Anolis sagrei: one gene and its partners. Each later gene encodes a partner of the first gene's protein in a complex. Links are inferred from orthologs where the notes say so. Each region holds a gene or a part of one and is shown in the gene's direction. Other genes may lie near its edges. The genes, in order: PIGC, PIGY, PIGQ and DPM2.

The links.
Region 2: PIGC (region 1) and PIGY share a complex: the UniProt entries of both Homo sapiens proteins name them as parts of the glycosylphosphatidylinositol-N-acetylglucosaminyltransferase (GPI-GnT) complex. The link is inferred for Anolis sagrei from reciprocal best matches to the Homo sapiens genes PIGC and PIGY.
Region 3: PIGC (region 1) and PIGQ share a complex: the UniProt entries of both Homo sapiens proteins name them as parts of the glycosylphosphatidylinositol-N-acetylglucosaminyltransferase (GPI-GnT) complex. The link is inferred for Anolis sagrei from reciprocal best matches to the Homo sapiens genes PIGC and PIGQ.
Region 4: PIGC (region 1) and DPM2 share a complex: the UniProt entries of both Homo sapiens proteins name them as parts of the glycosylphosphatidylinositol-N-acetylglucosaminyltransferase (GPI-GnT) complex. The link is inferred for Anolis sagrei from reciprocal best matches to the Homo sapiens genes PIGC and DPM2.

What each region holds. Positions count from the first base shown.
Region 1 is NC_090024.1:131,146,035-131,153,626, forward strand, and holds the start of PIGC (phosphatidylinositol N-acetylglucosaminyltransferase subunit C), read left to right. Parts: upstream 1-4,585; 5' UTR 4,586-4,671; intron 4,672-5,826; exon of another isoform or gene 5,827-6,201; intron 6,202-6,366; 5' UTR 6,367-6,468; intron 6,469-6,931; 5' UTR 6,932-7,048; coding exon 7,049-7,592. Other genes in the region: dimethylaniline monooxygenase [N-oxide-forming] 2-like, read left to right, coding at 90-459. UniProt on the Homo sapiens protein: Part of the glycosylphosphatidylinositol-N-acetylglucosaminyltransferase (GPI-GnT) complex that catalyzes the transfer of N-acetylglucosamine from UDP-N-acetylglucosamine to phosphatidylinositol and participates in the first step of GPI biosynthesis.
Region 2 is NC_090025.1:20,335,916-20,342,005, reverse strand, and holds PIGY (phosphatidylinositol N-acetylglucosaminyltransferase subunit Y), read left to right. Parts: upstream 1-4,709; coding exon 4,710-4,925; 3' UTR 4,926-5,566; downstream 5,567-6,090. Other genes in the region: PYURF (protein preY, mitochondrial), read left to right, coding at 2,737-2,927, 4,528-4,669. UniProt on the Homo sapiens protein: Part of the glycosylphosphatidylinositol-N-acetylglucosaminyltransferase (GPI-GnT) complex that catalyzes the transfer of N-acetylglucosamine from UDP-N-acetylglucosamine to phosphatidylinositol and participates in the first step of GPI biosynthesis.
Region 3 is NC_090034.1:27,568,143-27,576,131, forward strand, and holds the start of PIGQ (phosphatidylinositol N-acetylglucosaminyltransferase subunit Q), read left to right. Parts: upstream 1-4,975; 5' UTR 4,976-5,051; intron 5,052-5,057; exon of another isoform or gene 5,058-5,136; intron 5,137-7,989. Other genes in the region: NHLRC4 (NHL-repeat-containing protein 4), read left to right, coding at 579-1,028. UniProt on the Homo sapiens protein: Part of the glycosylphosphatidylinositol-N-acetylglucosaminyltransferase (GPI-GnT) complex that catalyzes the transfer of N-acetylglucosamine from UDP-N-acetylglucosamine to phosphatidylinositol and participates in the first step of GPI biosynthesis.
Region 4 is NC_090031.1:2,448,820-2,456,385, reverse strand, and holds the start of DPM2 (dolichol phosphate-mannose biosynthesis regulatory protein), read left to right. Parts: upstream 1-4,550; 5' UTR 4,551-4,568; coding exon 4,569-4,586; intron 4,587-7,192; coding exon 7,193-7,282; intron 7,283-7,566. UniProt on the Homo sapiens protein: Regulates the biosynthesis of dolichol phosphate-mannose. Regulatory subunit of the dolichol-phosphate mannose (DPM) synthase complex; essential for the ER localization and stable expression of DPM1.

The sequences.
Region 1 (7,592 bases):
CTGTGGAGGTCTGTGCTGAGCTTTATGACTAGAATATGATTGGGATTGCTTGAAAGCTTGATGGTGTTTCTATTTCTCTTCTACTACAGGGGATTTCCCATGGAAAAGGACAGTGCAAAGGCAAGCTTTGTTGCCTACATGGATGAAATTGCTGCTTGTATAGGGGTTAAGCCTAACTTGCTGTTGCTCTTCCTATTGGACCCCCAACTAGCCTTTAAAATTCTTTGTGGACCTTGCACTTCTTATCAATTCCGTCTGACTGGACCTGGGAAATGGGAACAAGCCAGAAGCACAATCCTGACAGAGTGGGACCGAGTTCTGAAGCCCTTGAAGACGACAGTCAACAATAGTTCCAAAGACTCCACAACTTTTTTCTGGTTTATGTTCCTTGGCTTTTCATTCCTTGGGGCTTCTTTGGTCATTTTAAAAACTCATCACATTCATGACTACCTAGGATGAGAGAGGTGCACTTTTCATATTACATGGATCTCTTGGTTTCATTGTACTGATTAGGTATATATCCAATACAATAAAACAAAAAGGAAATCAGACATTAAAAATATTTTAAACAAGAGGCATACAATCCTGCATAGCAGTCAAGCGTTCAGACTGAACAAAAATGTGACTTTCTTTCAAGTAAGTTGTGAAACAAGACTGGGAAACATACCATGATTTAAATTTTGCCCAATTATTACTAACCCCTTCAAAAAACACAAAATATACAACAGCAATTATATCCTTAAATAAAAGAGAATAAAATGTATCAAATATAGTCTTAAAATTGTTTTGTATTTTTGAAAAAATTGAGCACAGCAAACTTATAAAGTACAACATGTCCCTCTATTTCACATGGAAATTCTGTAAAGCAGTGGTGTCCACACTTTTTAAACTGAGGGCCAGTTCACAGTCTGATGGGGGGTGGGCAGACTATCTATATATATATAAATGTTCTGTGCATAATGAGTACCTTAAAAACAATGAACGAAATCACACCAAATTTGGCAACAAAATGTCACACAACACAAGGAGTGACCATCATTCAAAAAAATATGATTTTGTCGTTTGGGAGTTGTAGTTGCTGGGATTTATAGTTCACCTACAATCAAAGAGCATTCTGAACTCCATCAACAATGGAATTGAACCAAACTTGGCACACCGAACTCCCATGACCAACAGAAAATACTGGAAGGGTTTGGTGGGCATTGAACTTGAGTTTGGGAGTTGTAGTTCACCTACATCCAGAGAGCACTGTTGACTCACACAATGATGAATCTGGATTGAACTTGGCACAGATATTCAATATGCCCAAATATGAACACAGATGGAGTTTGGGGGGAATAGACCATGACATTTAGGAGTTGTAGTTGCTGGGATTTATAGTTCACCTACAATCAAAGAGCATTCTGAACCTCACGAACGAGAGAATTGGGGCAAACATCCCACACTGAACCCCCATGACCAACAGAAAATACTTCAGGCCACCCAGTCAAACTCCCTTTACCAGGGGAAGAAAAAGTAATCAAAGCCCTCCTGACAAAGAGCCATCCAGCCATAGATATATATGATTCACACACAGAGAGATATAGTATCAGATTTGAAAGGGACCCCTAAAGAAGGACAATTATATGTTGCCTATTCCAAAGTAGGCAAACCAGACCATCTCCACATCAGCACTGACAAAGAAACAATATATACTGCTTACCCACACGCACAAATACATTACATATATTAGAAATCAACACCTTCTCATTATTTTCCAAATCACCAGACTGGGCCACAGCAACGCGTGGCAGGGGACGGCTAGTCTATATTTAAAAAATGTAATGTTTGTTTGTGGGATTAACATAACTCAAAAACCACTGGACGAATTGACACCAAATTTGGACACAATACACCTATCAGCCCAACAAGTGATTATGACTCATAAAAACACTGAAAAACACAGGGAAGAGACTTAAAAAGCCCAAAAATTAAAAAAAAAACCCATTACAACGCATGCACAAAACCACACACACACAAACACACACACACACACACACAAATATATACACACACATATATGAGTATATGTGCTGGTACAACTGTACCAGGAGCTCCAATTTTGTTTGCTTTGTACTGAATGTCTGTTGCAGTCCTAAGTTTCAGAGACTCTGCAGATAGGTGGCTTCTTTTGGCTGCAATCATAGGGCAAGCCACCTGTCAATTATAGTTAGGTTCCCTGGTCCCGCCCCCTTTTTGGGTTTTTGGAGGGAATAGGAGCCTTTTTGGGTCAGTACACACAGAGAAGCTTTCCATACAGGACATAAAACCAAGAACTCCTGTAGAAAGCTTCGTCTTCTACAGCTTGGCCAAGGAGAAAAGGCCCCATAGCTTGGCTGAGGATTTTGCAGCCTTACAGCTCTTTTGCTGAAGGACTTCAGCCAGCCATCACTGAAACCTGAACTCCTTCTTTTCCCCTGGAAGTCTACAAAGCTCTGCTTGGTAAGGGTCGCTCGCGGAAGCCAGACGCAGTTGGTACCGGGTGTAGGGGCTCCACACCAACAGAGGCAAAGACAGACTGCCCAGATTAGAAGTTAAGGATTTCCCCATTAGTTAGTATACAGTTATGAAGATAGTGCCTGTTCCCAGTGAACAAGATTGCAAGAGCCAATAGACTGTTAAGAAAGCTTTAAAATATTATTAAACTTTATTTGTACCCCGCTAACATCTCCCGAAGGACTCGATGCGGCTTACAAAGGCCAAGGCCTCAACACACAATACAACAATGCAAAACCTAAGCAAATTAAAAACAATTAAAGCAAACTAAACAACAGCAATGAACAATCCACTAAGACACAATAAAACTGGGCCGGGCCAGAGTAAGGGTACAAGGGTTAAAAGTGCTGATGTGACAGGTGGAATATGAGGCTTATGGGCAAGTGCAGTGTGCGGTGTGCAACGGTTTTAACTTTAATAAAGTGCTTATGGGACTTGGAGGTTTCCTATTCGGGGAAGGCACATCGGAACAGCCAGGTCTTCAAGTTCTTTCTGAAGACTGCCAATGTAGGGGCCTGTCTAAGATCTTTCGGGAGGGTGTTCCAGAGTCGGGGGGCCACCACGGAAAAGGCCCTGTTTCGTGTCCCTACCAAACACGCTTGCGACGCAGGTGGAATCATGAGCAGGGCCTCTCCAGATGAACGAAGAGAGCGTGTGGGTTCGTAGACGGAGATGCGATCACGCAGGTAGGCTGGTCCCAAACCGTTCAGGGCTTTGTAGGTAAGCACCTGCACCTTAAACTGGGCTCGGTAGATAAATGGCAGCCAGTGGAGCTCCTTGAACAGCCTGTTTGTTTTCATTAATAAAGATTGCTCACCGGAGCGACATACAGGGAGCATACCACCCCCCTGCTGTGCCAGCTCCACTGGCTGCTGATTCAGTTCCGAGCACAATTCAAGGTGCTGGTTTTGACCTACAAAACCCTATACGGTTCTGGTCCAGTGTATCTGTCCGAACGTATCTCCCTCTACGTCCCACCCCGGAGTCTGAGATCATCTGGGGAGGCCCTGCTCTCGACCCCACCACTGTCACAAGTGAGGCTGGTGGGGACGAAAAGCAGGGCCTTCTCAGTGGTGGCCCCTCACCTGTGGAACTCACTCCCGGGGGAAATTAGGGCATCATCATCCCTCCTCGCCTTCAGGAGGAGGGTGAAGACTTGGTTATGGGACCAGGCCTTTGGGCACTCTGGCAATTAAATCAGACAATCAGGCGAGTAAGACCAGCAGGATTGTTGAAGTGGAATGTAAAACTAGATCTATGAGTTAACGAACGCTGACCATGTAAGAGGAGAAATTGGGTTTGTATTTGGTTTTATTGATTTTATTGATTTTATGGTTATAGTGCATAAATTGTTGTCAACTGTGAATTGATGTAATTTTGTGTATGGTTGTTTTATGATGCAGGCATCGAATTGTGCCTTTGCTTTTGTAAGCCGCCCTGAGTCCCCTTCGGGGTGAGAAGGGCGGGGTAAAAGAACCCCAAATAAATAAACTTTGTTGAACTTTTAAGCAATCTAAAGACTTTGTTTTAAGGAAATCCAAGGACCTTTAATCTGAGGCAGCCCCGGCGTCCCATTGGGCACACAGAATTTATGTCCTGTCTACAGTCTGATGCACAGGCCCAGCGTGCGACAGCACAGTATATGCACACACAAAACACATATATAAAGACTGGGCCACAGCAATGTGTGCCAGGAGACGGCTAGTATAATATATAAACATTTCTTGGGGCTCCATGAGAAACCTTTCCTTTAAAAGGGGATGAAGAAGTTTGAGAAACTCTGAACTAGAGCATGGATCCACTTTAAATGCTATGGCCGCCTCCTTCCTGCAGAATTCTGGGGTTTGTAGTTTAGTGAGGCCCAGCACCTGCCTGGCTGAGCGGCTTAAAGGCCCCTCCCTAAACTACAAGCCCCAGAATTCAGCGGGACGGAGGCAGACACAGGATTTAAAGAGACAGATGCTCTGTGGATGAGGTCCAATGTACGTGAAGGGAAAAGGGACCCAACCTGAGGCGTCTCTTACTTGGAACGGCAGTGGGCGCAAGTCACCAACGAGGAAGAAGGGGAGGAAAAGGGACGGCCCAGATCCCCGCCTTCCTCTCTTCTGTGGGCCGCCTCTGTCAGTTGAGAGGAAGGTAAGGCCAGGGCCCTTCCAGCCCTTCCAGCAGTGGGATTATTAACAGGAAGCTCTGGAGGGGGAAAGGGGATGTGTCGCCCCCTCAGCCCTTGACTGACGTAGAGACGGGGCTCGTGCCGGGAGGACGTAGGGCGCGATGCGTGAGAGGAGGAGGTGCGCGCGCAGAAGGCTCGCGCGCGCACTAGGCCCTCTGAGACAGTGCCTCACAAAAGCGCGGGAATGAGGGGAGGGGGCTTCTTAATGTGAAGAGGAAGCGGGCCTGCAGCCTGATCGCCCTTAGCGAGGGCCTCATGATCAGAGTTATATTTTGAATGAATGTATTTTGACACATTTGCTTTTTGCTGTGCAATTATGGGAGTTGTAGGAGTACTAAATAATAATAATAATAATAATAATAATAATAATAATAATAACGCTATGAAATACGACTCGCTGGAACACCTCAGCAAGCGAGAGTCCAAAAGTGGCAGGCTCAAACCCAGAACCTCAACCAATGGCTAATACCAAATGAGAGACTTCCCCCTGGGCACACAGAGGACTGGGCGACTTGGAAGGCGCTGAACAGACTGCGCTCTGGCAACACAAGATGCAGAGCCAACCTTCAGAAATGGGGCTACAAAGTGGAATCCTCGATATGCGTATGTGGAGAGGAGCAAACCACTAACTACCTGCTGCAATGCAACCTGAGCCCAGCCACATGCACAATGGAGGACCTTCTTGCAGCAACACCGGAAGCACTCCAAGTGGCCAGATTCTGGTCAAAGGACATTTAATCAACTACCAAACTCACAAATGTTGTACTTTGTCTGTTTGTTTGTTTGCTTTGTTCTGTTAGAAATGTAATATAATTAACTGGTTGCCCTGACATGACAAATAAATAAATAAATGTTACTGGGTTACAATCAAGTGCCAGTTAATACCCCCCAAACAAAAGATGCCTCCAGGCTAACAACAGCCAGGCTGCCTCTCACTGATTGACTTTGCAGCTGCTCAGTGCTAATTAACCTTGTTATTTATTTATTTATTTCGTATCAAAAGCATTGCATAAATTAGTATAGAACCAATAAAAATAGAAGGAGCGCAGACAGCTAAATATCTTTTGACCAAAAACGGGCAACAGGAATGGCATTGTCTGTAGCCTCCAACAATTCTTCCTCTGTAAATGAGGCAGGGCATTGTGGGCAAGCACACAGGTGCGGAGTTGTCTGTTCTGCTCCACAGTCACACAAGGTGTGGGATTCTTTTAGGTAGTGCCATTTTGCCATGTTGTCTTTTGATCTGCCCACTCCACTTCTGAGTCTGTTTAGGGGCTTCCAAGTTGCCCATTCTTGGAGGAAAACAATGCCTCCACAGCTCAGTGAGGCTGTCCATAAGAATACTATGGTCAATGCTATCAAAAGCCAGTAGAATCCACAGGAACACATTATGGCTAGGTCTCTCTGTAGGTCATCTACAAAAGTGGCCAAACCAGGCCTGAAACAAGATGAAATGGATCCAGCAGCTAATCATGGTGCTCAGGAAGGAAAATGTAAGAACAAGATAGAAAATGTGAAAACAATTGTGTTCTCTTGCTTGCACACTTCCTTGCTGTTCTTTGAAGAGAGTTGTAAGCGCCAAGGGAAAAAGCCTTCATGGGCTTCCGTGGAAAAGTTCCCTTATCTCATATTCTTTTACATCTTCTGCTTTTTTGCAGGGTAGCAAAAAGGGAATTAATTCCTGCTCACAATTGGATTGCCTTGCCTCATCAGTAGACTCTTTTTTTTTTTCAGCAGTGACAAGGCCTTCAGTTCTGGAGGTAAGTAATAATAATAATAATAATAAATAAATAAATAAATTAATTAATTAATAAACATTATTTATACCCTGCCACCATCTCCCCAAGGGGACTCGGAGTGGCTTACATGAGGCCAAGCCCAACAATACAGCAATGCAAATAAACAACATACAACGACAATAAAATATAAAAAATAAAAATATAAAATGCAAAAAAACCTAATATAAATAAGCACATCAAGCAATGTAAAATCACAATAATTTAAACACAGAAAATAAAAAAGGAAATAAGTACACCTCCTTTGATTTGACCAATCAATCTGGTATCACCCAGGGTACTGACTTTTCCATTTTCTGAACCATGTTTTCCATTAGCTAATTGAATTTTTCATTTTTATTGGTAGTGATGATATGTGAATAAGGGGACTGCCTACTTGTATCTGGATTTTGGAAAACTTGGTTTAATTATGTTGTCTTGCTTTTAGATTTCAGCTAAAAATCTGGAAAATCATCAAGAAATATCGATACAGGTTTCATCTTCTGTGACATAATACGGTATTCCAGTGCAAGTGGATCTTGAAGGCAGTAATTTAGCCAGATGCATGCTGCGACTCCAGATGGCACAGAACAGAAGACAATGCTGGCAGAAAGTGTTATACAAGAGGCAGCCATTTCCTGATAACTATGTGGACCGAAGCTTTCTAGAGAAGCTACGCAAAAATGTCCATGCACGTAAATACCAGTACTGGGCAGTGGTATTTGAATCTGGACTGGTGATCCAGCAGCTGTGCAGTGTGTGTGTCTTTGTTGTCATCTGGTGGTACATGGATGTGGGACTGCTAGCTCCCCAGTGGTTGTTTGGAGCTGGATTGATCTCTTCACTAATCGGCTATGTCCTCTTTGATGCCGTTGAATCAGGAATAGGAAAAAGTCAGAGTGACCAGTCACAGTGGGCTGATCTGAAGAATGCTGTGGTATTTGTGGCTTTCACCTATGGCTTCTCTCCAGTACTGAAGACTTTAACAGAGTCCATCAGCACAGATACAATTTACGCTATGTCTGCCCTTATGCTGCTAGGACACTTGATCTTTTATGACTATGGAGCCAATGCTGCGATTGTGTCCAGTACACTATCTCTCAATATGG
Region 2 (6,090 bases), on another chromosome or scaffold:
AAGGATTCCCCGCTTTGAAGCTGCAAGGCTATTCAATGCTAATCAAGGTGGCCATCTGCAACATTCACACTTGCCTCAACCCATTAAAACAATTTATAGCAATAAACAGCCATTTTAAAATACATAGTTTAAAAATGTTTTTGAGTATTGAACAAAATCTGGCTACCAGTGTTAAAAAAACTCTGAAATCATATTGTCGAAGGCTTTCGTGGCCAGAATCACTGGGTTGTTGTAGGTTTTACAGACTATGTGGCCATGTTCTAGATGCATTATCTCCATGTTCTAGATGCATTATCTCCTAAAATCCCCTTGTGGGAAAGCTTGATTCCACGACCTCCATTATTATGAGCCCTCCTCCGCAAATAATCTGTTTCTTTCTTATCTCGCCTGAGTTTTTAATCAGTTTTTAATCAGCCTTTCTTTTATCCATTACATGTAGCCCGCCCATTGTCATTGTGATTGTGCCTATTGTAATTTTATATTGCCATGTTTTCATTTGTTTTAAGTAATTACGTTGTTGTTGTTTATTGTTTGCGTTTTTGGTTTTATTTTATGTAATTATTGTCTGGGCTTGGCCTCATGTAAGCCGCTCCGAGTCCCCATTGGGGAGATGGTGGTGGGGTATAAATAAAGATGATGATGATGATGATTATTATTATTATTATTAGGAGCCCCCGGTGGCGCAGTGGGTTAAACCTCTGTGCCGGTAGGACTGAAGACCGACAGGTCGGAGGTTCAAATCCGGGGAGACGTGGATGAGCTCCCTCTATCAGCTCCAGATCCTCGTGCAGGGACATGAGAGAAGCCTCCCACAAGGATGATTAAAAAAAATCAAAACATCCAGGCATCCCCTGGGCAACGTTCTTGCAGACGGCCAATTCTCTCACACCAGAAGCGAATTGCAGTTCTAACGTTTTAATTGAATATGATATATGACGTTTTTAATTATTGTTTTGTGATTTTATTGTTGGAAACCGGCCCGAGTCCCTCGACAGAGGGGAGAAGTCTGGTATACAAAATTGCTAAATAAATAAATAAATAAGTTGCTCCTGACACAACAAAAATATATTATTATAAAATCAAACTCTAAAATCAAAAGAATAAATAAGCAACACACTCAAAAACGGGGGAATTCCAGACAAGAAACAATCAAGGCCAGCTAATCACCCCCCAGCAAAGGACTCCCTCCCCAGGCAGGAAGCAGCCAGACCTTGAAGCTGCAAGGCCATTCAATGCTAATCAAGCTAGCCAATTGCAACATTGACACTTGCCTCAAGCAGACCAGAGTTCTTTCTCCCACCCTGGATATTATTATTATTATTATTATAAATTCAAACTCTAAAATCAAAACAATAAATAAGGAACAACCCTCAAAAACGGGGGAATTCCAGACAAGAAACAATCAGGGCCAACTAATCACCTCTCAGCAAAGGATTTCCCCCCAGGGAGGAAGCTGCCAGACCTTGCAGCTGCAAGGCCATTCAATGCTAATCAAGCTGGCCAATTGCAACATTGATACTTCCCTCTATCAGACTAGAGTTCTTTCTCCCACCCTGGATATTATTATTATTATAAAATCAAACTCTAAAATAAATAAATAAATAAATAAATAAGGAACAACCCTCAAAAACGGGGGAATTCCAGACAATAAACAATCAGGGCCAACTAATCACCTCCCAGCAAAGGATTCCCCCCAAGGCAGGAAGCAGCCAGACCTTGAAGCTGCAAGGCCATTCAATGCTAATCAAGCTGGCCAATTGCAACATTGACCCTTCCCTCAAGCAGACCAGAGTTTTTTCTCCCACCCTGGATATTATTATTATTATTATAAAAACAAACTCTAAAATCAAAACAATAAATAAGGAATAACCCTCAAAAACGAGGGAATTCCAGACAAGAAACAACCAGGGCCAGCTAACCACCTCCCAGCAAAAGATTTTCCCCCAGGCAGGAAGCTACCAGACCTTGCAGCTGCAAGGCCATTCAATGCTAATCAAGCTGGCCAATTGCAACATTGATACTTCCCTCCATCAGACTAGAGTTCTTTCTCCCACCCTGGATATTATTATTATTATTATTATTATTATTATTATTATTATAAAATCAGACTCTAAAATCAAAACAATAAATAAGGAACAACCCTCAAAAACGGGGGAATTCCAGACAAGAAACAATCAGGGCCAGCTAATCCCCTCCCAGCAAAGGATTTCCCCCCAGACAGGAATCAGCCAGACCTTGAAGCTACATATTATTATTACTATTATAAAATCAAACTCTAAAATCAAAAGAATAAATAAGGAACCCTCAAAAACGTGGGAATTGCAGACAAGAAACAATCAGGGCCAGCTAATCACCTCCCAGCAAAGGATTCCCTCCCAGGCAGGAAGCAGCCAGACCTTGCAGCTGCAAGGCCATTCAATGCTAATCAAGCTGGCCAATTGCCTCAAGCAGGCCAGAGTTCTTTCTCCCACCCTGGACATTATTCCACGGATATATGAACCTCACTGGCCTAGTTTCCCAACAGATTTCACAACCTCAGAGATGGAACATGGCCAGCCAGCCCAACTAAACCCAATCTTTAGTTCTTTGTAGGAACCTAGAACATTGGCTCTCGCTTTCCAAGGGACTGCTTTCGACAGCACACTCATTCGGAGGAAGCAGTCTGGTGAAGCTGACTTCCTTTCCCAGCTGACCTTGGAGCTGGCGCTGGCAGTGAAGGCGTGCAACCGTGGAATCATGCCGATGCTGCCTCTGGGTTTCCTGCGCCTCTCCGCTTGCGTTCCGCTCTGGAGGAAAGGCTCTCGGGCTCTCTTCTCCACGGCGGCCGGGAACGGAGGCGAAGGCCCCGAGGGAGAGAAGCAGAAGCCGCCCTTCGAGGCCAGCCTCCTCCAGGTCCTCGTCTGCCCCTTGTCCAAGAAGCCGCTCAGGTGAGAAGCCAATGGGCTCCCATTAGAGGCTGTATCGGTGTAGTTTCAATGGTTCAATGCTATGGAATCCTGCTTGTTTGTAGTTTGGTTGGGCGCCTGCCCTCTTTAGCACAGAAGGCTGCAGACCTTGTGGAACTACTCCTCCCAGAATCCCATTGACAGTTAGAGGTATCAAACTGCATTAAAGTCTACAGTGCAGGTGGATCTTGCAAGTTTTTTTTTGTATCTTTTTAAAATGGCATTTCATTGGGTTGCTGTGAAGCTTCTGGGCTGTATGGCCATGTTCCAGAAGCATTCTCTCCTGACATTTCGCCTACATCTATAGCGGTGAGCTTTGTTGGAAACTAGGCAAGTGGGGTTTATATATCTGTGGAATAATGTCCAAGGGCGGAAAAAGAACTCTTCTCTGCTTGAGGAAAGTGTGAATGTTGCAATTTGGCCACCTTGATTAGCACTGATTGGCCTTGCAGCTTCAAGGTCTGGCTGCTTCCTGCCTGGGAGCGGGGGAATCCTTTGTGGGAAACTAGGTAAGTGGGGTTTATCTGTGGAATAATGTCCAAGGGTGGAAAAAGAACTCTGGTCTGCTTGAGGAAAGTGTGAATGTTGCAATTGGTCACCTTGATTAGCATTGAATGGCCTTGCAGCTTCAAGGTCAGGATGCTTCCTGCCTGGGGGGGATTCTTTGTTGGGAGGTGATTAGTTGACCCTGATGGTTTCTGTCTGGAATTCCCCAATTTTTTTAGTGTTGTTTATTATTGTTCTTTATTTACTGTTTGGATTTTGGAGTTTGATTTTATTTATTTATTTATTTATTTATGACATTTATATGCCGTCCTCACCCTGAAAGGGACTCAGAGCAGCTTACAAGATACACGCACACACACGCACACATACATACAATATATATTATTAGCATAGTACAATATCAGTATTGTATATTACTATATTGTACTTATACCATTAAGTACAATACGGTATGGTATAAGTGTACTTATACCATACCTTTTGTTTACTGGTGTCCTGTTGGGCTTGGCCTCATGTAAGCCGCTCTGAGTCCCTTGGGGAGATGGTGGTGGGGTATAAATAAAGCTTTTATTATTATTATTATTATTATTATTATTATTATTAAATTGTATTATTAGTAATATTACATGTAATATAAAATATATAATTATAATATCATATTAGTAGTATTATGTTATATTTCATTAACCCACTGCGCCACCGGGGGCTCAATGTTATGCAAATACTGGGAGTTGTAGTTTAATGAGACACCTGCATTCTTGGACAGAGAAAGTGAAAGATCTAGTGAAACTACAAACCCTGCCGGCTGTTAGGAATTGTGGCAGTTGAAGTCCAAAGCACCTGGAGGTCTAAAGTTTGCCCGTGCCTGGTCTAACTGTACCTAGTGGGGTGTTATAAGGATGCCTGACACATTATTATTATTATTATTATTATTATTATTATTATTATTATTATTGCCACTAGCATATTACATCTTACTGAAAGACTGGTTTGCATACTTCTTTGTCCCAGTACCATATTCTTAAAGAAATGGCAATAGCTGGCTTGACATATCAATATTTGTTATGTTTCCTAGGTATGAGGAGTCCACCAATGAATTAATCAACGAAGAGCTGGGCATTGCCTACCCCATCACTGACGGCATTCCTAATATGATCCCCCAGGCTGCCAGGATGATTGGCAAAGACAAGCAGGAAGGGGAACCTGAGCGGACCTAGACGTTTTTTCTTCTTATAAGAAATCCACAGGTGAAGAAAAATGTTTCTGTCTCTGCCTACGATGACTGTACTCATCCCGGTGTTGTCTTTAGCTGGACTGTTTTATTCGGCCAGCGTTGATGAAAACTTCCCTCAGGGTTGCACAAGTACAACCAGCCTGTGTTTCTACAGCCTGCTGCTTCCAGTTACCATCCCAGTTTATGTGTTCTTCCACCTCTGGACCTGGATGGGCCTTAAACTCTTTCGCCACAACTAGGTTAGGCTGAAATGGGTGGACATGGACTAAAATATGTGCTTTCTTTTTATCTGTCTGCAATAGGATCAGAAGTCTTCCCAAACAAGTAGTGGACTAAACATATTGAAATAATCATCCACACAAGCGAATAGAAAACTTGCTTTTACCCTTCCAACTCTAGCAAACCTAGTTCCAAACCAAATCCATAGGAATGATGATGGATCATACAGATAAGGTGGATGAAACACACTGTAATTTCACGAGCTATCTGCTTTGCCCACAAGAAAGTGACTACATTTCCATCTTTGGACCTGTATAGTCAACCCTGTGCAGAAATATACCATGGTAGAATTTTAAAGTGTTGCCAGATGCTTTCAAGCCGTTTTCACAGTTCCTTGGAAGAATGGCATTTAGTGCAGAATAATACTTGATGACACCCTAAATGGATTTTCTGTCATGGCGCTATTGTGTTTCCAGGATGTCTTTTAACATTGTTGGACATGGTGATAATAGTACTCAGGATTTTGCTTTCATTAAATTGCACTGTTTTCTACCCATAGCTTTTATGCTTGAATGAGTGATATTAACAGATTGTGATCAAAACAGAATTATAAGGAAACCGAAAGCAATTATTTCCCACTAATAAAGCAACTGAAAAACCAGGTAGATATGTTATTATTTTTTTGCTCAATGCTTTATTTGGATTTTCACCTTAAAGGGGATAATCCCCTTACCTACAATTTTTGTGCCATACTAATCTGGCTCCAGAGGGGTTTTCCAGGCATTCAGAACTGGATTTATAGGGGTGAGGGTTGCAGCGAGAATGGGTTTTGCCCTTGTAGTTCCACTAAATAATATCCAGCATTAGAGTCAGCCCAGAGGTTGTTTTTAAAAATGGCAATACACATTTGTTCTGCTGATGAGTGCCTCCCTCCAGTTTATGGCAGTTCTTAAGGGATTTTTTGACAGATTTTGATCACAGACCCTCTTTGTATTAAACTTCCTATGAGGCTAAGAAAATGACAAGGTCACCCTGTGAGTTTCCATGGCGGCCCAGGGAATCAAACTCTTTTCTTCAGTGCTAGTCCAATGATCAAAGTACTAGACCATGTTACTAGTAAGGTAAAGGTTTCCCCTGACATTAAGTCTAATTGTGTCTGACTCTAGGGAGAGGTGCTCATCTCCA
Region 3 (7,989 bases), on another chromosome or scaffold:
TTAAATCGGATGCCACTTTTCAAAAAGCCAGCCCTCTCCTGAGCAACCACCCTGGCCTGGGTATGGTGACCGAGGACCAAGTTCATCAGCTGGCAGAGAAAGCCAAGGTTATCTGCCACGACCTGGACAATATCAGGAATCATCTCCATTTCCGGCAGGATGAGTTGGTTCAGCGGATGCCAAACCCCAATGGCAACCATTACGGAGCCGTATGTGGAATTCACTGCTCCCTTGATGGGGTTCTCTATGTGACGAGTGAAAATGCCCCCAGGGTCCACACCCTCAACCGCCTGGGCCACACATTTCGGTCCCTGCCCTGTATAGAATGGAAAAAGAAGGGCACCTTTTTGCCTGAGGATGTGACCCTCACCAGGGCAGGGTTGGTGGCCGTGACAGACATGGTGAACGGAACCATCCGCATCTTCAACAATCACTCTAAGTTCTCCAAGGGCGAATGGCTAAGCATTGGAAAGTTTTCTGCCCCCAGGGGGATTGGAGTTGATGGGTCCGGAAAGATACTGGTGGCCGACTACACAGAAGGCCAAGTGCACTGTTTCGCCTTAGACCGCGCTTTCAAGATGCAGGGTGTCCGCTCCATCTCCAACCTTCAAGGGCCACGTTACGTGTGCCCGGCCCCCGAAGGAGGATTTGCGGTGAGCGAAGAGTGCGGGGACGTCAAGGTGTTCAGTAACACTAACAAACCGCTCTCTTCCATCAGCAGCAAGTATCACCACCACTTTGGCAACCCCGCTGGGATCTGTTCCGATAGTGAAGGCAACATTCTTGTGGCGGATGAACAACACCAGAAAGTGTACTTGTTTCCCAGTAGCGGATCCCCAATCTGCCTGGTATCAAAAGGTCTACAGAGACCAGCAGGAATTGCTTGTTCCACACAGGGTTTGCTTTTTGTTGCTGACAGTGGGGATAATTCCATCAAAGTCTTCAAATACCGCGTACGGCCCTATTACAGTGCTGACGTTACACCCAGTGACAGTCCGAATGTAACTCCTAGAAGGAGGGCAAAGTAGGATTTTTCCATGCTCCCACATTACATTTATGACTCTGCCTCACGAGCTGAATAGGTACATCTACACTGCATAATCAATGCAGTTTGACACTTTAATTATGGAATCACAGGAGTTGTGGTTTATAAGGTCTCACAAGATCTTTAGCCTTCTCTGCCAAAGAATGTTGGTGCCTCACCAAACTACAGACCCCAGAATCTTATAGCATTGAGACCTGCCACTTCATCAAATTCATTAAATGCTACAGAGCCACCCACTTAAGAAAAGGCAACCTACTGGGCTCATCACATGATGTAGGCTCTAGCAAGTGTAGGGTAGAGAGATCTTAGTGTTTAAAAGGGGTTGCAAAGGGTTATCTTTTCAGACGCTTTCTAAGCTGTTTGGCAAATGACTTTTTTGCAAATTATCCAGCTAGAGGTGGGCAAAATGGCCAATTCTGTCATGTGATTTAAAATGATACAGTTGAGCAATTTGTGGGATGAGCCGAAATGCTCTTTTGAGAAAAAACTCTACGATTACCTTTTGCTCACGGAGGAGGAAAGATTGGCAGTTTGCTGTGTTCCTTTCTGTCTCTTGCACTTTCTGGTGGCTTGCCTGCTTGCTTGCTTGCCTTCCTTCCTTCCATGTGTTGTGTGTGCCATGTGTTACCTCCTCCTCCCCTTCCTTCCTTCCTTCCTTCCTTCCTTCCTTCTTTTCTTCTATGTATTGTGTGTGCCATGTGTTACCTCCTCTTCCTCTCCTTCTTGCCCTGCTTTTTTCCTTCTTCCAATATGAGGAAAGTGTGTGTGTGAGAGTGAGTGAGAGAGAGAGTGAAAGAAACTGAAAGAAACTGAGAGAGAGAAAGAGAGAGAGAAGGATCATTGAGAAACTAGAGCAAAATGTGCCAAAGCAGGATGCTGTCCCTCCTGCAAAGACAAAAATTTTGCAATTTAATAAACTTTTCCCATGTGTTCATGATATAACCAATTAGGAAATGACATTGATAACCCATGAACCAAAAATATAGCCCAGGAGAGGAGGTATTTCTTTTCACAAAGAAAATGGGAGCGGGACAGTGGACAGGAACAATACCCTGCAATGTGATGGCAAATCCACTGAGAACTCCTGATTAAAATGGAGAGTTTGCTAGTGTGTGATGGAGGTAGGGAAATCATCCATTTAATTTCAAAACAGAGTATGCCTGAGCCGTATGGTAAACCTACTCTTCCAAACACTTGACATGTTCAGTGGAATGAAGTCTATGGTCATTAAAGTGGTGTTAAACTGCATTAATTGTATAGTGTAGATGCAGCTGGTATGTGCACTTCTCCAATTATGCATCAAACTGCTCTGGAGATGAAACTGATCTTACAACAGCACGTTAATTTTTTTGTGCCATGATTCCTTTTAAGTAAACAGAAAAGACGCAACAGGATACAGTAACGGCATGGAAAGAAACATTCAAAATGACACCAAAAAAAAGGGAGAGTCCTCAGGCCAGAAACAGCACTGGATAAACCATTTAGCCTGCTTGAGTCCAAATATATGGAGCAAAGAAGGCCGGCTCCTGAACGTTTCCTTATTTTACAACAGTTTGTGTTATGTTTTGCTCTTTGTTGTAGAAAACGATGATTTGTGTGTTTCTCCATCTCATCAGGCATGTTTGTCTTAACTGCGTATCCCTTATCCAAAAAGCTTGGGACCAAACATTTTTTGGATCTTGGATTATTTTTCTCTCTCCAGATTTTGGAATACTTGTATCTGCATACAACAGTCAGTCTTTAAGCATGATTTTTAAATGTGTGTGCTTTGTTAATCTCTATTTTGTGAATTTTGATATCTATTTTATAGAAATACTTTTTGATATGTAGCTTTTATAGGAATACGTTTTAATATGTGCATCTGTAGTGTTTTTGCAATGTTTATGTGTTTTAATTATTCTGTAACCCACCTCGAGCCTTGAGAAGGGGCGGGTAAAAAATAAAATAATAATTATTATTATCATTATTAAATGCACGCATAACAAGATACCTTGGAGATGGGCTTCATATATGTTTCATATTCACGTTATACACATAGCCTGAGATGATTTTATACACAATATTTTTTACTAACTTTGTGCAGTAAACAAAAGGTTGGTCCATTAGAAAGCAAGGTTGCCACCATCTCAGCTGTCTATCTGAACAATTTTGGATTTCCAAAGAAGGGATGCACAAGCTGTAATTCTAAATCATAAGTCTTCGGGGGGGGGGGGGTTAGAATGTAGAAGTTTATATATGTAATATGGTTCATTTCTTTGGCATGCCCCTCGCCTCTGGAACTCCCTCCTGAAGGAGATCAGAACAGTGCCACTCAGGCATATGGTGATGCGAATGTTAAAAGATCTGGCACTATGAAATAGGGAATGGAATTTAGACATGGCTTTTAACTTTGTCTTATTAACATCCTGTAATTTACTATTATTGTTTTCATGTGATCTATTTTATTGTCGAATGCGACGTTTCGTTTATTTTAAATTGTTTTCGCCTATTGTTGTATTTTACGGCATTGAACGTTTGTCTTTTATGTTGTGAACTGCCCTGAGTCCCCATGGGGAGATAGGGCGGGAAAGAAATAAAGTTTTACTTACTTACTTACTATAGAATGCAGTTTCATAACTTTGTTTAACTGCATTGTACGGAGCTATATGGTTACAAATAAGATTAGAAGGAAGGAAGGCATGGTTGCCATCTACAGCACTATCAATGTCCAGCAAAACTGTGCGAAAGCAAAGGTGAAGATTGCTTCGTACCGCCAGAGGCTTATCACACAAAAGCAGGCATTATATTGGAAGGGAAATGTGTGTCCCACCTATGTCTGCTGTAAAAAGATCTGAATTTTGCATATATCCCTCCCTAGTTTTGCTGGAAGAATACTCTTGTAACTGTCAAAAACAGCAGACCATTTCTCTGCTATTTGAAGGATTGCTCTCTTACATTTGCTGTTCTGGAATATTTAGGCTTCGTCAGGTTAGTATGCAAGAAAAGAAGAAAGAATCTCTTGATACTCTACTATCTATCTATTTAGTTCTAGTTGAAATTGCTTGAATTTTGCTATTAAATGACAGAGAGAGATTGTGGTTTTTAACATTGCACATATTTTAATGCTTTTTAACTGTGAATTCTTTCACAGTTAAATCCTGCTTTAATGTTTGCATATATTTGTGTAATTAAAATCATATGCTAATGATTTAATTTTAAGTCTCCTTTGGGAAGAGATAAAGCAGAGTATAAATAAATATCATACAATAATAATAATATTTTAATGTCTATGCTGATGCTTTTATGTCAAGCAGCTTTGAGTCTCCTTTGGGAGAGATAAAGCGGGGTATAAATATAATAATAATAATAATACATAATAATAATAATACATAATATTACTAAATTGAATGCTAATGCTTTTATGTCAAGCCATTTTGAGTCTCTTTTGGGAGAGATAAAGTGGGGTATAAATAAATATAATAATAATAATATTACATAATATTATTAAATTGAATGCTAATGCTTTTATGTCAAGCCATTTTGAGTCTCCTTTGGGAGAGATAAAGCGGGGTATAAATAAATATAATAATAATAATAATAATAATAATAAATTGAATGCTAATGCTTTTATGTCAAGCCGCTTTGAGTCTCCTTCGGGATATTTATCTATTTATTTATCATGTCAGAAACAAATTGAGAATACAGCTATAATGTATAGGGGAAAAAACCCCAAAACTCCTCAAACATCGTTAAAAACTTGGCATTATGGTGGATGCAACCCAAGGCGCTGCTTTCCTAATAGCAGGGCTCTCCTACCTGACTTCCCTCCTTCCCTCCAACCACTGGGCGCCTTTCTGTGGGCCAGGTTGAGGAGGAACTCCATTGGCCGGAACCTTTCCTTTGGGAGCGAGGGAGCCGCCCGGATGATAATCCGAGCCGGACCGCGTCTCCTAGCAACCGCCCCCCTCGCCGCCGGAAGTGGCTCCAATGTCAAGCGGCGCGCGGCCTTTGCTGCCTCCTGGTGAAAGTAAGTCATGCTTTGAACCGGCCCCTTCCACACTGCCGTATGACCCGGAATATCCAGGCAGATCATCCACATGATCTGCTTTAAGGTACCTTAGACCAGGCATGGGCCAACTTGGGTCCTCCCTCCAGGTGTTGGGGACTACAACTCCCACAATTCCTAACAGCCGGTAGACTCAGGGCCCTTCCACACTGCTGTGTAACCCGGAATATCAAGGCAGAAAACCACAATATCTGCTTTGAACTGGGTTATCTGAGGCCCCTTCCACACAGCGGTATAAAATCCCACAGTGGGCCCCTCCACACAGCCCTATATCCCAGAATATCAAGACAGAAAACCCCACAATATCTGCTTTGAACTGCGCTATTTGAGTCCACACTCAACTAATGTGGGATTTTCTGCCTTGATATTCTGGAATATAGAGCTGTGTGGAAGGGCCCAATATCTGCTTTGAACTGGGTTATATGGCAGTGTGGACTCAGAGAACATAGTTCAAAGCAGATATTATGGAATTATCTATCTTGATATTCTAGTTTATATGGTGGTGTGGAAGGGCCCTGAGTCCATTTCAGTGTGGACTTTATGCAGCTGTGTGGAAGTGACTACAGATAATAATCCAGTTCAAAACTGATCACGTGGATTATTTGCTCTGCTAATCTGGATCATATAGCAGTGTAGAAGGGCTGTATGTCAGTTGAGGTCCCGGCATTTTCAACCCAAGACACTTCCACACTGCCATAGAACCCAGAATATCCAGGCAGATCATCCACAATAACTGCTTTGGACTGGATTGTCCGGGTCCACACTGCCAAATATCCCAGTTCAAAGCAGATAATGTGGGATTTTATACAGCTGTGTGGAAGGGGCCTCAGGGCCCTTCCAGTTAGGCCCTATATCCCAGGATCCGATCCCAGGTTTTCTGTTTATCCCAGATTATCTGGCAGTGCAGACTCAGGGCCCTTCCACACTACTATATAACCCAGAATATCAAGGCAGATCATCCACATTCTCTGCTTTATACTGGGTTATCTGAGTGCCCTTCCACACAACCATATAACTCAATATTAAGGCAGCAAATCCCACAATGTCTGCTTTGTACTAGGTTATCTGAGTCCACACTACCATATATTCCAGTTCAAAGCAGAAAATGGGGGATTTTATTCAGATGTGTGGAAGGGCCTTCAGCCCCCTTCTACACTGCCATATAATCCAGTTCAAAGCAGATCATCTAGGTTTTATATGACAGTGTAGAAGGGTCCTAAGAAACTACCTGACAGCTTTACAAATAGAGTATAAAACAGGCCTGGGCCAACTTCAGCTCTCCAAAGGCCATCCAGTCTGACCATCATTCAGGTCAGACTGCCCTGTCTTCCTCCTCATCCACGGAGAGGGGAATGCAGTGCAATTTAGATGTCAGAGTATGCGGCTGGCTCTTTCCATTCCGCAGCCACATGACTCACGCATCGCATTCTGCAAGGGATCAGGATCGCGGAGAAACATGTCCTGGCTGTGACGCACGCACACGCTCCATTTATTCATTCTAAAGGTCTCTCCCACAGAGGCTAGGTCATTGTGACACATCCGTGATTAGCAATGGTCCCTAAGGATGAGCATTGAGCCAAGGATTCTTGCCCTCCACGTTACTGCTTTTTAACTTTTATGGATTCAATTCCAGGCAGTTCCCGAGCTACAAGTACCCGATTTACAAACGGCTCCTAGTTAAGAACAGGGCTGGACTGGATGGCCTCTGGGGGTCCCTTCCAAATATTTATCTCAGATATATAGATATAGGCTGTTCCCAAGTTACAAACACCCGATTACAAATGGCTCCTGCATAAGAATGGGGCAAAACCACAGGAAATGAAAAAAATCTTCCCCTTCAAAAGGAAAGGAAATCCTCTCCTGGAAGAGTTGTTATCAGGGGGAAAGGGGGTCTGGTCTCTAATTTTCTCCGGTCCTTTTTTCCACAACCAGCCAAATTCTTCACAATCCAGTTTTCCCAGGGATGGAAAATGAGGTGAAATCTTCTGAGCAGTGGCACAGACAGCAAAGGAAACACCATAGGAGTGTTAACCCTTCCCTATGCTATCTATATATTTATCTGGAATTATACTTTAAAAATGTCCTTGTTCAAACTTACATACAAATTCAACGTAAGAACAAACCTACAGAACCTGTGTTGTCTGTAACTTGTGGACTGCCTGTATATGGAGGTGCCCACTTGAACAAAAAAATGCAGAAACCTGCTTTTACTACTTTTCCATGAGACTGTGTTTCAAAAACAACAAAGATTTGTGCACATTAAAGACTGGTTATTTTTGTAAGGACATATGCTTGTATGCACTGATTATGTGGGCTGTAGACATGAACATTTATGTTGGTGTGCTTTGTAGCTGAGGGAATGTTGGAACTTGGTTCTTTCCAGGCAGACATGCCATTTGGATTTGTCTTGGGTTCTGCTTTGAGAAACAAGGCACCGCAATTTTTCCAGTAACTAAATGATTGCTTTGCATGTGTTTCCTATAACTAGATGTTCAGAGGGTTTTTAAAAACTTTTCTGCTATAAAGCAAGCTAGAAAAGCCTTTCCTCTGTATCTGGTCAGTATCCCTTCCCTCAGGAACAAATTTTAGGCATAGTTAATTGGCTAAAAATTGTCCAGTCGCATCCCATCAGTGCAAATTGAAAAATAGTTTAATCCAGTGTTGAAAAGGATGGTCATTTTGGGGCCAGATAGGTGGCCCTGGGGAGAACATTTCGTAATTGTGTGAGAAGGGCACAATGAAAAATCCTCCTTTAGAAAGCTTTGTGGCGTGGCTTGTCCTACTTTTGACAGGAAAAAACCAGAGGCAATGACATGTAATGAGTAAATGTGACTAGGTTTCCACTTCTTTTCTTGTTTCTTCATGGTAATGTTAAAAGAGATTTACTGATGTCTCCTCA
Region 4 (7,566 bases), on another chromosome or scaffold:
TTATTATATTCAGATACTTCTATAAGCGAGAGATTCGAGCGCGGAGGTGATGACGATTATTTTTGGAAAAGGGAGAAATAAATAAATACGGGACTATGCAAACAAGAGATAGTTTTAACACTTTCTAATATTTTTGGGGGAGGGGAGGGGCCTTGATAAAAAAGCAGATTAATTACAAATCTTTACAAAATGAATAAAAATAAAAAGCCCTTTGCGGTTAAAAGGAAGTCTAGAGGTCGCATTTAGTTCGGCTGCTCAGTTTTTGATTATTGTTATTTTTCCTTCGAATGGTTTGTGAGGTTCCTCTGGTGTTTCTGTTTTTCTAATGCAGACGCGGGCCAATTCTGGCCCTCCCGGTGTTTGGGACTACAACTCCCATAATTCCTAGCAGCCGGTTACAGCCTCAGGCCTCTTCTTTTTCCCCCTCAGCCGCTTAAGCGGCTGAGGGGGAAAAAGAAGAGGCCTGAGGCTGTGACCGGCTGCTGGGAATTATGGGAGTTGTAGTCCAAAACACCAGGAGGCCGGAATAGGCCCGTTCCTGTTTTAACGGAATGCTGTGCCGTCTTTGACTCGACCGATGATCCGTGTTTGTACTCTGTTCTCCGGTTCCTTCCTTATTGTAGAGAAGCCACACATATAAAGAGGAAATTCACTATATAATGTCAAATGTCATTACCGTTTTTTGCGGGGGAGAAAAACAAATAAAGGTGGTTTTTCTTTTTCTTTTTGGTACATCACACCTGGCCTGGTTTGTTTCCTTACCGTTTCGTTTCATGTGTACGCAATGGGACCAATGCCTGCCTATTTTCTCCCTTTTCCATCTCTCTTACTTTCCTTCTTCCCTCTGTTTCTCTCTTTGTCTTCCTTTCCTTCCTTCCTTCCTTCCTTTCTTCCTTCCTTCTCTTGCTTTCCCTCATGCACCTTTCCTCCTTTTCTTTCCTTCATTTTCTTTCCTCCCCCTCTTTTTTTAGCCCTTCTTTCCTTCCATCCCCATATGCTTTCCTTTCGTTCTTTTTTCTTCCTCGCTTTTTCCTTTTTCTATCTTTCTTTTTCCTTCTTTCCCCATTTCACTCTTTTTTCTTCCTCCTCATGTTTTCCTTTTTCCACCTTTCTTTCCTTCCTTCATTTCACACTTCCTTTTTTTTCTTTCTTCCTTCCTCTCTTTCTTTCCTTGCCTTTCATTCCTTCATTACTTTCCCTCCCTCCCATCCTTACTCCGTTTCTCCCTTTGTCTTCCTTTCCTTCCTTCCTTCCTTCCCTTGCTTTCCCTCATGCACCTTTCCTCCTATTCTTCCCTTCTTTTTCTTTCCTCCCTCTCTTTTTTTAGCCCTTCTTTCCTTCCGTCTTCATATGCTTTCCTTTCCTTCTTTTTTCTTCCTCCTCACTTTTTCCTTTTTCCATCTTTCTCTCTCCTTCTTTACCCCATTTCACTCTTTCTTTTTCTTTCTTCCTCCCTCTCCTCCTTTCCTTGCCTTCCCTCCCTTTCTTCTTTCCTTTCCCTCCCTTCTTTCCTTCCTTCCGCCTCTTGCTTCCGTCATGCACCTTTCCTTCTTTTCTTTCCTTGTTCTTTCTCTCCTCCCTCTCTTCCTTTATCCCTTCTTTCCTCTCTTTTTCTTTCTTTCCATCTTCATATGCTTTCCTTTCCTTCTTTTTTCTTCCTCCTCACTTTTTCCATTTTTCTCTTTCCTTCTTTCCTCCATTTCACTCTTTCTTTTTTTCTTTCTTCCTCCCTCTCTTGCTTTTCTTGCCTTCCCTTCCTTCCTTCTTTCCTTTCCCTCCCTAACATCTGCAATTCAGAGAGGACACATACAAAGTAGAAGAATAAGACATTTCACGCTTCCTTCAGGCCACTTCACCCAGTGACAGCCAACCCAGCAATATCGCAGAGGGCCACCTCACATGTGACAGCCAACCCACAAACATCACTGAGGGCAACCTCACCCAGCATCGCTACTGAGGGCCAGTTCACCCAGCGACAGCTAACTAGCTGTCGTCATGGGAGGCCACTTCATCCAGCGACAGCCAATCCAGTGACACTGTGGAGGGCCACCCAACCCAGTGACATCGTGAAGGGCCACTTCACCCAGTGACAGCCAACCCAGTAACGTCATGGGGGACCACTTCATCCAGTGACAGCCAATCCAGTGACACGGTGGAGGGCCACTTCACCCAGTGACACTGTGGAGGGCCACCCAACCCAGTGACATCGTGAAGGGCCACTTCACCCAGTGACAGCTGTTGTGGAACAGACAGAGAAACTCTTGGACTTTACTAGGGAAAGTTAGGGATGAAAAACAAGGTTAAAATAAAATAAATAAACAAGATGGGAAGTTCTCTAGGAATTGCAAACGAGGAGTTGTTAACGGGCCTGCCATCAAATAACCTTCTGCCTTTTTTTTCTTGCATTTTCTGGGTGCTAAATGCAAAAGGAAAAAAGAACCATGTGCTCCCAAGTTATTTCACCCATGACATTTCAATTCAATTCAAGAGAGATATTGACAAGCTGGAATGTGTCCAGAGGAGGGCGACTCAAATGATCAAGGGTCTGGAGAACAAGCCCTATGAGGAGCAGCTTAAGGAGCTGGGCATGTTTAGCCTGAAGAAGAGAAGGCTGAGAGGAGATATGATGAAGGCCATGTATAAATAGGTGAGAGGAAGCCACAGGGAGGAGGGAGCAAATCAAGGGTCTGGAGAACAAGTCCTATGAGGAGCGGCTTAAGGAGCTGGGCATGTTTAGCCTGAAGAAGAGAAGGCTGAGGGGATATGATGAGGGCCATGTATAAATAGGTGAGAGGAAGCCACAGGGAGGAGGGAGCAAATCAAGGGTCTGGAGAACAAGCCCTATGAGGAGCGGCTTAAGGAGCTGGGCATGTTTAGCCTGAAGAAGAGAAGGCTGAGAGGAGATATGATGAGGGCCATGTATAAATAGGTGAGAGGAAGCCACAGGGAGGAGGGAGCAAATCAAGGGTCTGGAGAACAAGTCCTATGAGGAGCGGCTTAAGGAGCTGGGCATGTTTAGCCTGAAGAAGAGAAGGCTGAGGGGATATGATGAGGGCCATGTATAAATAGGTGAGAGGAAGCCACAGGGAGGAGGGAGCAAATCAAGGGTCTGGAGAACAAGCCCTATGAGGAGCGGCTTAAGGAGCTGGGCATGTTTAGCCTGAAGAAGAGAAGGATGAGAGGAGATATGATGAGGGCCATGTATAAATAGGTGAGAGGAAGCCACAGGGAGGAGGGAGCAAATCAAGGGTCTGGAGAACAAGCCCTATGAGGAGCGGCTTAAGGAGCTGGGCATGTTTAGCCTGAAGAAGAGAAGGATGAGAGGAGATATGATGAGGGCCATGTATAAATAGGTGAGAGGAAGCCACAGGGAGGAGGGAGCAAATCAAGGGTCTGGAGAACAAGCCCTATGAGGAGCGGCTTAAGGAGCTGGGCATGTTTAGCCTGAAGAAGAGAAGGATGAGAGGAGATATGATGAGGGCCATGTATAAATAGGTGAGAGGAAGCCACAGGGAGGAGGGAGCAAATCAAGGGTCTGGAGAACAAGCCCTATGAGGAGCGGCTTAAGGAGCTGGGCATGTTTAGCCTGAAGAAGAGAAGGATGAGAGGAGATATGATGAGGGCCATGTATAATAAATATGTGAGAGGAAGCCACAGGGAGGAGGAGGGAGCAAGCTTCCTTTCTGCTTCCTTGGAGACTAGGACGCAATGGAACAATGGCTTCAAACTACAAGAGAGGAGATTCCATCTGAACATGAGGAAGAACTTCCTGACTGTGAGAGCCGTTCAGCAGTGGAACTCTCTGCCCCGGAGGGAGTGTGGTGGAGGCTCCTTCTTTGGAAGCTTTGAAACAGAGGCTGGATGGCCATCTGTCAGGGGTGATTTGAATGCAATTCCTGCTTCTTGGCAGAATGGGGTTGGACTGGAGGATGGCCCAGGAGGTCTCTTCCAACTCAAGGATTCGATGAGGCTGGATGGCCATCTGTCAGGGGTGCTTTGAATGCGATATTCCTGCTTCTTGGCAGAATGGGGGTGGACTGGATGATTGCCCAGGAGGGCTCTTCCAACTCTAGGATTCTATGACATGAGTCAGTCCAACCTTGCATGGCTTCCAGCCACAGTCTGCAACATGAAAGGTACATAATGGAGCAAACCGAGTCTCCTTCCAGGATTTGGAAGGACAGTTCCCTCTCAAGCCCATCCATACACGGTTTCCAAATGAGCCTCAGCTTTGCAGGCCTGCGAATGACTCTTCTCTTTCATGAGTCTAGGGTCACAAGGCGCGCATCTCCTCTTTTAAGGAGTCTATGACCCGAGCCTGGACTCTGTGCGCGTGCGCGGAAGCCTCCGAAGGAGACGGAAGTCTGCTGTGCGCATGCGCGGGAGGCCTGCCACGGAGAGGCTAGAAACCCATTCTTAGCCGCTGCTGTGCGCATGCGCGGCGGTTAAAGCACCCACCTCTATGGCTCTGCGACCGCTCTTTCTCCTTCCGCCTCTATGGCACCGGAAGGAAGTCTTCCCAAGCAGGAAATAGAACTTCACAATGGTGAGTCTGGGAATAAAAGCCAATGGGAGAGGTTGCTTTGGTTAGGATTATACATTTAGATTTCCAAAAGATAACCAATATGTATATATTATTATATGTGTGTATAGAATAAAATAATATATATATATGCATATAATTTTAGTGCATATATAATCTATATTCTTTAAATACGTATATATTATTTTATATAATATATATATATGTACATAATTTTAGTCTATACATATTATTGATATATATGTCTGTATAGAATAAAAGATATACATATAAGGGATATCTATATATAGATAGATAGATAGATATACATTACAATTATATGCATATATATTATTATATGTGTGTATAGAATAAAATATATATGCATATAATTTTAGTGTATATATAATCTAAATTCTTTATATACGTATATATTATTTTATTCTACAGACATATATCAATGATATATATATGTATATAATTTTAGTCTGTATATATTATTGATATATATATATATGTATGTATGGAATAAAATATATATGTATATAAAGAATATATATATACATTAAAATTATACACATATATATTATATGTGTATAGAATAAAATAATATATATATGCATGTCATTTTAGGGTATATATAATCTATATTCTTTATATACGTATATGTTATTTTATTCTACAGACACATATATCAATAATATATATATATATATATGTATGTATATAATTTTAGTCTATATATATTATTGATATATATGTATGTATAGAATAAAATATATACGTAGATATAGATATAGATATACATTAAATGATATGCATATATATTATATGTGTGTATAGAATAAAATAATATATATGCATGTAATGTCAGGGTATATATAATCTATATTCTTTATATACATATATGTTATTTTATTCTACAGACACATATATCAATAATATATATATATGTATATAATTTTAGTCGAGATATATTATTGATATATATATATGTATGTATAGAATAATATATATATAAAGAATATAGATTATATATACACTAAAATGATATGCATATATATTATATATGTGTTTGTAGAATATAATGTATATGTATGTATAGAATATAGATTATATAGATATAGACTAAAATGATATGCATATATATTATGATGTATGTATGTGTGTAGAATAAAGTAATAAATATGTATATATAGAATTTTGATTATATATAGAGAGACTAATATTAAATACATAAATGTTATGATATATATGTGTTCATAGAATAAAATAATAGATTATATATAGAGACTAAAATTATACACACACACAATAACATGTTTCAAAACATTAATTCAAAAATATCTTTTTTTTAATTACATTCCCTGTGATTCAAAATGAAGAAATACAGGCACTAAAATAAAATTGAAACAGAAATAGGATGTTTTGGAAGAGAGAACATATTCCATGCATATTAAGAGGCTTCCCCATTCGCTGCCATTTTATATATATATATATATATATATATATATATATATAAGTATGTGTGTAATAAAGACAGTCACTTTATTTCTGTACCCAGCCTCCATCTCCCCGAAGGGACTTGGGGCGTCTTTCATATGATGCAAAGTGCCTAAAACCACGCATAAAATAGACACAGAGGACAAGACACGAGAGCAAAACTATAGCATATATAAAACAACATTTTAAAACTCAGAACACAACGCCCGATGATCTGTGGTGACAACTGCTGTAAGACATGGCCACACTAAACAAGATGATTTGTATTGACAGCTTGACTAAAATGAGCACATTATAAAATGTATTTATTTACTTAAAACATTGATATTCCACCCTTCTCACCCCGAAGCGGACTTAGGGTGGAGCACAACATATACACGGCAAACACAGATTCACATACAAAACATAAATATAAAAAAAAAATGATCAAAATATTAAAATACACCATTTAAAACTGTCCTAGTCATCAGCGTCAAATCTAATTGGCCCGGTCATCTTTCCTATTGCCACTTTATTGCCCTGTCCCGAAAGCTTGGTCCCACAGCCAAGTTTTGACCATCCTTCTAAAGGACAGGAGGGAGGGGGCTGACCTGGTCTCACCAGGAAGGGAGTTCCATAGCCGGGGAGCCATCACCAAGAAGGCCTTGTCTCTCGTCCCCACCAATCGCGCCTGTGACAATGGCGGGATGGAAAGCAGGGCCTCCCCGGAGGATCTTAATCTCCGCAATGGTTCACAGGGCTCCTTCCTTCCTTCTCATCTCCTTTCTTTCCCTTCATTCTTCCCTTCATATACATGTCTCCTTGTAGCAGGCAGGACACTTCACCTAGCAACAGCCGGTCCTTCACTGAGGCACAGCAAATCCGCTTTGGCCCTTTTCTTCCTTTATAGCTGGACCATGAAGGGACAAAGTGCCAAAATTGGTCCAAATCCACCAAACCACGGAGAAGCCTTGGTGGTAGAAACCGGCATACATACATACATTGTATACACACACATGGATAGATAGATATACAGATAGACAGACAGATAGATAGATAGATAGATAGATAGATAGACACACATGGATGGATGGATGGATAGATAGATAGATAGATAGATAGACAGATAGACAGATAGACAGACAGATAGACAAGGGGTCAGCATTGATTCTCCTTTTTCCCTTTCAGGCCACTGCAACTGACCAGTTGGTTGGCTATGGCTTGGTTGCCTTCAGCCTTCTCCTCTTCGCTTATTATACCGTCTGGATCATCGTACTGGTATGGACTGGCTTGCTTTTTTTATTTTGATCCCATATTAAAGGAATAAATAAAGGCAGAATACATTGATCCCTCCCATGTGAATATTCAGAACCCCTCCAATTCTCATAATAATAATAATAATAATAATAATAATAGTAATATTAATATTAATATAATATATAATTATATATATTAATATATTTTATATATATTATGTCATATATATTCAGGACGTCTTCAATTCTCATATTATATATAGGAGCCCCCGGTGGCACAGTGGGTTAAACCCCTGTGCCGGCAGG